Callithrix jacchus: one gene and its partner. The protein of the gene in region 1 purifies or fractionates together with the protein of each later gene. This does not show direct contact. Links are inferred from orthologs where the notes say so. Each region holds a gene or a part of one and is shown on either strand. Other genes may lie near its edges. The genes, in order: GTF2H4 and MNAT1.

Region 1 (3,912 bases):
GCTTGAACCCTGGAGGCCGAGGTTGCATTGAGCCCAGATTGTGCCACTGCATTCCAGCCTGGGCAACAGAGTGAGAGACTCCTTTTCAGAGAGAGAGAGAGAGAGTGAGAGAAAGATGGGGGTCTCACCCTGTCGCCTAGGCTGGCGCAATCATAGCTCACTGTAGCCTCCAGCTCCTAGTCTCAGGTGATCCTCCCGCCTCAGCCTCCCGAGTAGCTGAGTAGTCATGACTCTGAGCCACCTCACCAGGCTGCAGGCCAATTCTTAATCTTGCCAGGCTCCGGTCTTCCAGTCTATAAAGTGGGAATAATGGAATTTGCTTATAGAAATTTGGGGAAATGTGTAGTTCTGGCTTTGGGTGAAGACCTCTGTCTTTCTCTGTAGCAGGTTCATAAATCAAATCAGAGCAAACAGCTGATGTCTTAAAAACTGTATTTATCAGGGTCTTCTAAGAAAACGGTTTTAGGCATGGTAGAGGCAGAAATTAAGAATTATTGAGTATTTAGGGCCAAGTAAGGCGCACTGGATGGTGTTGTTAACTTGTGGAAACCGTCCAGAATGTGTATACTTTCTTCTCTTTCTCTTTCTTTCTTTCTTTCTTTTTCTTTCTTTCTCTTTCTTTCTTTCTTTCTTTTCTTTCTTTCTTTCTTCTTTTTTTTTGACTTTAGCTTTTGTCGCCCAGACTGGAGTGTAATGGCACGATTTCGGCTCACTGCAACCTCCGCCTCTAAGGTTCAAGCGATTCTCCTGCCTCAGCTTCCTGAGTAGCTGGGATTAAAGGCGCCCGCCACCACACCCGGCTAATTTTTGTATTTTTAGTAAAGACAGACTTTCACAATGTTGTAAAGGCTGGTCTCGAACTCCTGACCTCGGGTGATTTGCCTGTCTCGGCCTCCCAAAGTGCTGGGATTACAGGCGTGAGTCACCGCGCCCGTCCCGGAGTGTGTATTATCTCAATTTTACGGGGAGTAATTGTGCTCACGGAATCCAGTTTTGTGGCCCCTACCCCCTAAACGGCTCACCACTAAGTCGCCATGGCGCGCCTCCGCCAAGAAGCCCTCCAGGAACTTCTATTTTCCCCGGACCCGCCTCCTGTTCAGGCCGGTTAGACGCGCCGTTAGCAGCGTGGGCGGAGTTGCTTCTGCCTTCGCGGAACCAACTGGCCTGACTTCTGGTATCTCCCGCTCTCTAAATTAAAAGCCAGCTCCTCTCCTTTTGGCTTCCCAACGGTGCCTTTCGGGATTTGTAGTCAGACGCGCTTCAGCCGGCTCCAAGGAGAGCAAAGACAAGACTCCAATTCCCAGCATACCCCGCGCCGGGAGAGTGCAGCGCCTATTCTCATCCTCTTCACTCTTCCACTCCTTCCCTTACCTCCCTTCTCTTCTGAATTCTCCATTCTAGGCTCTTGTCTGTGAAATCTTTTGTCGCTTTCCCCATCTTTCCCTGGCATTTTTTTTTTTAACCATCTTTCCCTCAATCTCCGGGAGCCAATGAGAGACTTTGGCTCCGATTAAGCGACTGCCCGAGACTCGGGGTGCACGAGGAGGATGGACAGAGTGGTGAGGGGACCTAGGAGGGTGGGAGTGGCATAGCTGTGAGAGAGAGAGAGGTGAGTGAGAGGCGAGGTGTGGGAGGAAGGCAGGGAGAATCTAGGAGATCGGAAGGCGTGGGTCAGCGTGAATGGGAAGGGAAAAGAGGTGACTTCAGATTTGGGAAGCGTGAAGGGGAGAGGTTATCGTCATAGCAGAAGTGGGCTAAGAGATAGACGATAGGGAGGACGGGCAGATTTGGAGCTTATTGACTGATCTGGACCAGGAGAGATGGAAGAGAGAGGTGTGGGCTCAATTTTCTTTGTCCCTGTTTAGCCAAAGATGAGACAAGTCATTGAATACAAAATTATCTTGCAAACATAGGACAGTTAGCAAGTCTGTCACTTGGTAATTGAGGGAAGACTGGAGTTGAAGGGCAGAAGTAGGGTGAGGAGACCAGAAACGGAGAGAGATTGGTCAGATTTGGAAGAAACTAGAGATAAGTGACAGGGGAAAGTAAGCCACAGAAAAGGTGGGATTATTGTGGGGGCTCATGGATCTGGAATCAGAGTTAGAAAGGTCAGGGGTGACACTGGCATGGATGGTGGGGGTGTGCCTCTGACGTTTGCATTCCTCAGGTGATGGAGAGCACCCCTTCAAGGGGACTGAACCGAGTACACCTACAATGCAGGAATTTACAAGAATTCTTAGGGGGCCTGAGCCCTGGGGTATTGGACCGATTGTATGGGCACCCTGCCACTTGTCTGGCTGTCTTCAGGTGAGGAGCCCCATGGCAAGGAAATGTAATGGGGTCTGCAGATTGGAAATAAATATCATGAGTAAAAGCATAGCAGTCTGGATTGGGGGTGGGGACTGGGGGTGAGGGTTGAAAATTGCTCCAAAGTGTGGAAGGCCAAAATAGCAGGACTGGTAAAGCTGTGGTGGAGTGAGATGAGATGTTTGAGAGGTAATTGAGGGCAGAGATGCAGATACAGTGCAGCTTCTGAAATTAACCTTTGACCTCTATCCCTATACAGGGAGCTCCCATCCTTGGCTAAGAACTGGGTGATGCGGATGCTCTTTCTGGAGCAGCCTTTGCCACAAGCTGCTGTAGCCCTGTGGGTGAAGAAGGAATTCAGCAAGTAAGTCTCAGCCAGATACAGATTTCTCAACAGCAACATTTCCCAAACTGCTGTTTCTTGGAGCACTTCCAGGAAATATTAATAGATCACAAAATTTAAAAATAAATACATTTAGGAAATGCTGCATACTGCGTTTTCCCTTTTATTTATTTCCCAGCTGACTTCTTGTTTTCAAATGTATCTTCCCTCTTAGTTATGTGTGTTATCAGCAATGAGGCTCTGATAGGTAATGCAGTAAAGGCATTTGTCTTAAGATACTGATTTCACTCTGTGAAACAGTAGTTCAAAGATCAGCAAGTTCAGAACAGGCAGGAATGGTAACTTTTATGGGCCTTCTCTTTGTTCTCCAGACACCCCCTCTCATCTCTTTGCTTCTATTCCAGGGCTCAGGAGGAAAGTACAGGGCTGCTGAGTGGCCTCCGGATCTGGCACACCCAGCTGCTCCCAGGCGGGCTCCAGGGCCTTATCCTCAACCCCATTTTCCGTCAGAACCTCCGCATTGCCCTTCTGGGTGGGTATGTCACTTCTATCTCTTCCTAAGCTAGGGAAGGGAAACTGCTGCTAATTAAACTGCTATTAAACTTTGGGAGGGGGAGCTTATGGGGGCCTCCCTGGAACCTTGTGGTCTCTACCTTGGGGAGCTCCTTTAGGAATAAGTTGGACCAGATGTAGCTGTGTTGTGTAGGCAATGTCCCCCAGTCATGGCCCCTGAGGATAAGGGTGGAAAGATGGCAGAAGGACAGCAAGGAACACAGACAGAGTTCCTTACTCTTTTTTTGTTTTGTTTTGTTTCTTTTTGAGATAGAGTCTTGCTCTGTCACCCAGGCTGGAGTGCAGTGTCACAATCTTGGCTCACTGCAATCTCCACCTTCTGGGTTCAAGATATTCTCCTGCCTCAGCCTCCTGAGTAGCTGGGATTACAGGCACCCACCACCATGCCTGGCTAATTTTTTGTATTTTTAGTAGAGATGGGGCTTCACCATGTTGGCCAGGCTGGTCTCGAACTCCTGACCTCAGTGATCTGCCTCCTCGGCCTCCCAAAGTACATGGATTACAGGTGTGAGCCACCGTGCCTGGTCAGAGGTCCTTACTCTTGGCCCATCCTGGCTCTAGGGGGAAGGCCTGGTCTGATGACACAAGTCAGCTGGGACCAGACAAGCATGCCCGGGATGTTCCCTCCCTTGACAAGTACGCTGAAGAGCGATGGGAGGTAAGCACTTGGGACTTAGCTTCTACCTCCT
Region 2 (3,912 bases), on another chromosome or scaffold:
CCTGGGCAACATAATGAGACCCAATTTCTTAAAAAAAAAAAAAAACCTAGGACTGGTGGTTAGTGCCTGTAGTCCCAGTTACTTAGAAGGCTGAGGTGGGAGGATGGCCTGAGTCCAGGAGTTCAAGGCCACAGTGGATTATGATTAGGCCACTGCACTCCAGCCTGGGCAACAGAAGGAGACCCTATTTCAAAACCAACCAACCAACCAACCAAAACTGTCCTAGTGACAATAAACTATAATGCCATCTGAGTGGATGACCTCAATGTAGTATTGGCTAAAAATTTTATTTGCACATATAACATATTCATTCTATCACTAGAAGTTTCCTGTTCTGTTAAAATATAAAGTCCCTAGAGTTGCCTTTGTTCTTGAAGAGCTTCACTCTGAATCATGTAACTGATTTGGATGTCGTCTTTCAATAAGACAATAGCAGCAGCGTCATAAGCCTCCAGGTCAAGCATAGTAGCATAGTATTTGGTGTTACCTATTTTAGTAAATTTATGTTTGGTTAATTCCTGTTGAGGAATGAAACTATGACCAAAGAGATGATATAGTTTATTAGATGAATCCCTGATGTCTTCATACTAATGTAAAGCTCTGTCACAGCCTGCTTTGGTCTGCTGGTTCCTGGGTGTGGTATCCAGCTGTTTGTCAGCTTCTCCCTCCATATTCCATGGAAATCCCAACTGTATTTTTGGGTTTTGGGTTGCCTACTGAGTTCACTGTTTAAAAACGTGAGTTGGAATGTTCCTTTTATGTTTTTATTGAAAAGAACCCAAGTTCTATGATGAATTAAAATTACTTAAATGTTTATAGCTCATATTCATTGTATCAGATTATTTGAAAAATCTTGTCTGCATGTTCCCCTTCTGATGGAGTTTGGGTCAGACGAAGGTGGTTACAAAAAATGTTTGACACTAAAAATGTTCACATTACACTATTGTTTGATAGTCATTCACTAATTCTTCATTTAGTCTACTTGTACATTAAGTATCAACAAATCTTTATTTTGGAGATGAATAAGATGTGTCCTTTGCAGTGGGAAAGTTCATTATTTAATAGAGCTGTTCACAGACTTCAATTGGCCTTCTTGATAAATGTGATGAACATGGTTTACAATTTACAAAGATATTCAGGCTCTCAGATCTTGGAATTGCTGAACTAAATTTTTGTGTATGTATTCTTATATTATTTTTTTCCTAGGTATTCAGGGAAATAAACACTGTCTAATGGAGAAGCTAGGTTTTTCAAATTTTGTATCTGTGAATGCATATTATTAGCTGAGCTTACATGACTATGAATTATAAAGAAGTATAAAGCACAGGCTATCAAATGGTCCAAAAGAAAATACTGAATTATCAAGTATTTACATCGCTTATAAATCTTTGAAATCATGGAAATGTTTTCAGGCAGAACAAGATGGAATTTATCTTCTTAATTGTTACACAGTACCTTGAAGAATGCAAATTGGTGCGTAGAGATAAGGCTTGGTGTATAATTTGCCATTTTAAAAGTTTCCCTTTCAAGTTCAAGGTATTAAGCTTCTTTATGGAAGGCTGAGACCAAGCCCTAGCTGCAAGACCAGGGAACTGACTGCCGGAACGTTTGTGTTGCAGCGCCTTGCCCCTTGCCGGTGCTCTTTCGTGAAGGGACCATCTCTGCCAAGCGCCTGTTGGTAGAAACTTGCTTGGTCGAATCTGTGGGGGCTTGTAGGTGGCTGTGGCTGAAGCAGGCGCCAAGGAGAGTCGGTAGCAGGGAAAGCGCCATGGACGATCAGGGCTGCCCTCGGTGTAAGACCACCAAATATCGGAACCCCTCCTTGAAGCTGATGGTGAATGTGTGCGGACACACTCTGTGAGTTGGGCGGCAGTGGATTCCCTGGGGGAGAGACGCGTAGGATAGGAGAGGGCCTGGAGATGCTAGGCCTCGTCTGGGTGGGAGCAAAGGGTGTTGTTAGTTTCAACACTGTGGAAGAAAATGGAAAAAGGAGGGGTTGTGACTTGAAATGGACTGTAGCCTCTATCCCCGAGCCGCTCTGGCCTGCTTTGAACTGAGGGTTCTCGGTGTGGCACCCAGCAGTTTGTCAGGTTCTCCCTCCGTAGCCAATGAGTATCCCGACTGTATTCCCAGGCTTTGTTTTGTCTACTGGGCTCCAAACATCGCTGATTAAAAGTGTGGGGGATTGGAGTGTTTATTTCATATGAAATGTTTTTATTGAAAAAGTGCGAAAGTGCCACGAAAACTTAAAATTTGCTTGAGTAGATACTGCTGCTATTTATTGTATGAGTTAATTAAAAAACTCTGTATGTATATCCACTTGTCCTGATGGAGTTCGGTTAGACTCTCATCACTAAAATGAAGAAAACCCGGACTCCAGGCAGTTAATTATGAAGATATAACAATGGCTGGCATTTGAGTGCACATTTTGTGCTAGGCAATGTTCTAAGCGTCTTACCATGCATTATCTCGCTTCATTCCTACAACAATCCCATGAAGTAGGTACTGGTATTTCCATTTCACAGGGAAGGAAATCAAGACTGCTCAAGGTCCTTTATTAAGTGGGCCTTAAGAGAATTGGAACCAGGAAGTCTGACTAGAAAGCCCATTTTCAGGGGAAGGGGGTAGAAGGAGGGAGGTTGAGTTTGTGTGTTTTGAAATAAGGATTGGTCAAAGTGTTTCTTGCCAGATTTCTTGTCCAATGCGGTTTAGTGAAGGTGGTTGTAGAAACCAATTTGGGATAAAAGGTGCCATATAGTGGTGAGCACATATTCCTGTAGTTTCTCTGAGGTTTATTGGAAGTAAGAAATAATGGATAATCTACAGTGTGGTAGACAAGGTCTCCCCCCAAACCCCAAGTGCTGACAAAAATGTAGAGCAATTACAGGGTCTTTAGGTAAGCATAAATTGCATAATTAGCTGTAGTTATAATTATTATATGGGATTTATTAGCTTACTTAATTGATTCCCTTTTCTAATTCATCTTTAGTTTCCTTGTTTTACTCTGCAAAGGAAGTATAGTAGAGCTGTGATTGAATGGTTTAAGATTAGAAGTAAGGTAAAAGTAATCCAGAATGCATAGAAAAGGGAATTCTGGCTGGGCGCGGTGGCTCACGCCTGTAATCCCAGCACTTTGGGAGGCTGAGGCGGGTGGATCATGAGGTCAAGAGATGGAGACCATCCTGGTCAACATGGTGAAACCCCGTCTCTACTAAAAATACAAAAAATTAGCTGGGCACGGTGGTGTGTGCCAGTAATCCCAGCTACTCAGGAGGCTGAGGCAGAATTTCCTGAACCCAGGAGGCGGAGGTTGCAGTGAGCCGAGATTGCACCATTGCACTCCAGCCTGGGGAACAAGAGTGAAACTCCGTCTCAAAAAAAAAAAAAAAAAAAGGGAATTCTACATGGAAAACACTGTAGATAGACTGTTTTGAGAGAGATTTCCTTCAAATTCTCTCCATTTTTCTTTATCAGGTTTGTTACAGTGGAACAAGAAAGGGAGTTTGTTTTTTTGGGAAGGATACTAAATGTAATTTACCAGAAGGAGGCTAAATGTAATGTTCTGGCCTAGCAGAAATTAGCCAGTCAGGGAAGAGCATACGATTTCAGTAACATAAATGGCATTTTAATTAGGCAATTATAAAATATTTATTTTAATTGAAATTGCTTTTGTTGTATAGTCAGCCCTTTTTGTTAAGGTCTAACAGTTAAGACTTTTATTGATTCTGGTGTTGAATTTAATCTGGTTAATTTGCTAACCTGTTAGATACAGGCCACATTTTACGGTCCTTTTTTGACTTGAAATGTTAACAAAATGAGTAAAAGGCTGTCGCATGTTGGCTAAGAGAACAAGCTTTGGAATCAGTCTATCTGATTTCACATTCTTCCCTCTTACGGGCTCTGTGGCCTTAG

Evidence for each region.
Region 2: the proteins of GTF2H4 (region 1) and MNAT1 purify together in Homo sapiens (co-immunoprecipitation; 3 studies listed by BioGRID and IntAct, with this or other methods). This does not show direct contact. The link is inferred for Callithrix jacchus from reciprocal best matches to the Homo sapiens genes GTF2H4 and MNAT1.

What each region holds. Positions count from the first base shown.
Region 1 is NC_133505.1:35,702,035-35,705,946, forward strand, and holds the start of GTF2H4 (general transcription factor IIH subunit 4), read left to right. Parts: upstream 1-1,357; 5' UTR 1,358-1,547; coding exon 1,548-1,559; exon of another isoform or gene 1,560-1,697; intron 1,698-2,167; coding exon 2,168-2,307; intron 2,308-2,566; coding exon 2,567-2,671; intron 2,672-3,054; coding exon 3,055-3,186; intron 3,187-3,784; coding exon 3,785-3,881; intron 3,882-3,912. UniProt on the Homo sapiens protein: Component of the general transcription and DNA repair factor IIH (TFIIH) core complex, which is involved in general and transcription-coupled nucleotide excision repair (NER) of damaged DNA and, when complexed to CAK, in RNA transcription by RNA polymerase II.
Region 2 is NC_133509.1:95,467,396-95,471,307, forward strand, and holds the start of MNAT1 (CDK-activating kinase assembly factor MAT1), read left to right. Parts: upstream 1-1,674; 5' UTR 1,675-1,768; coding exon 1,769-1,857; intron 1,858-3,912.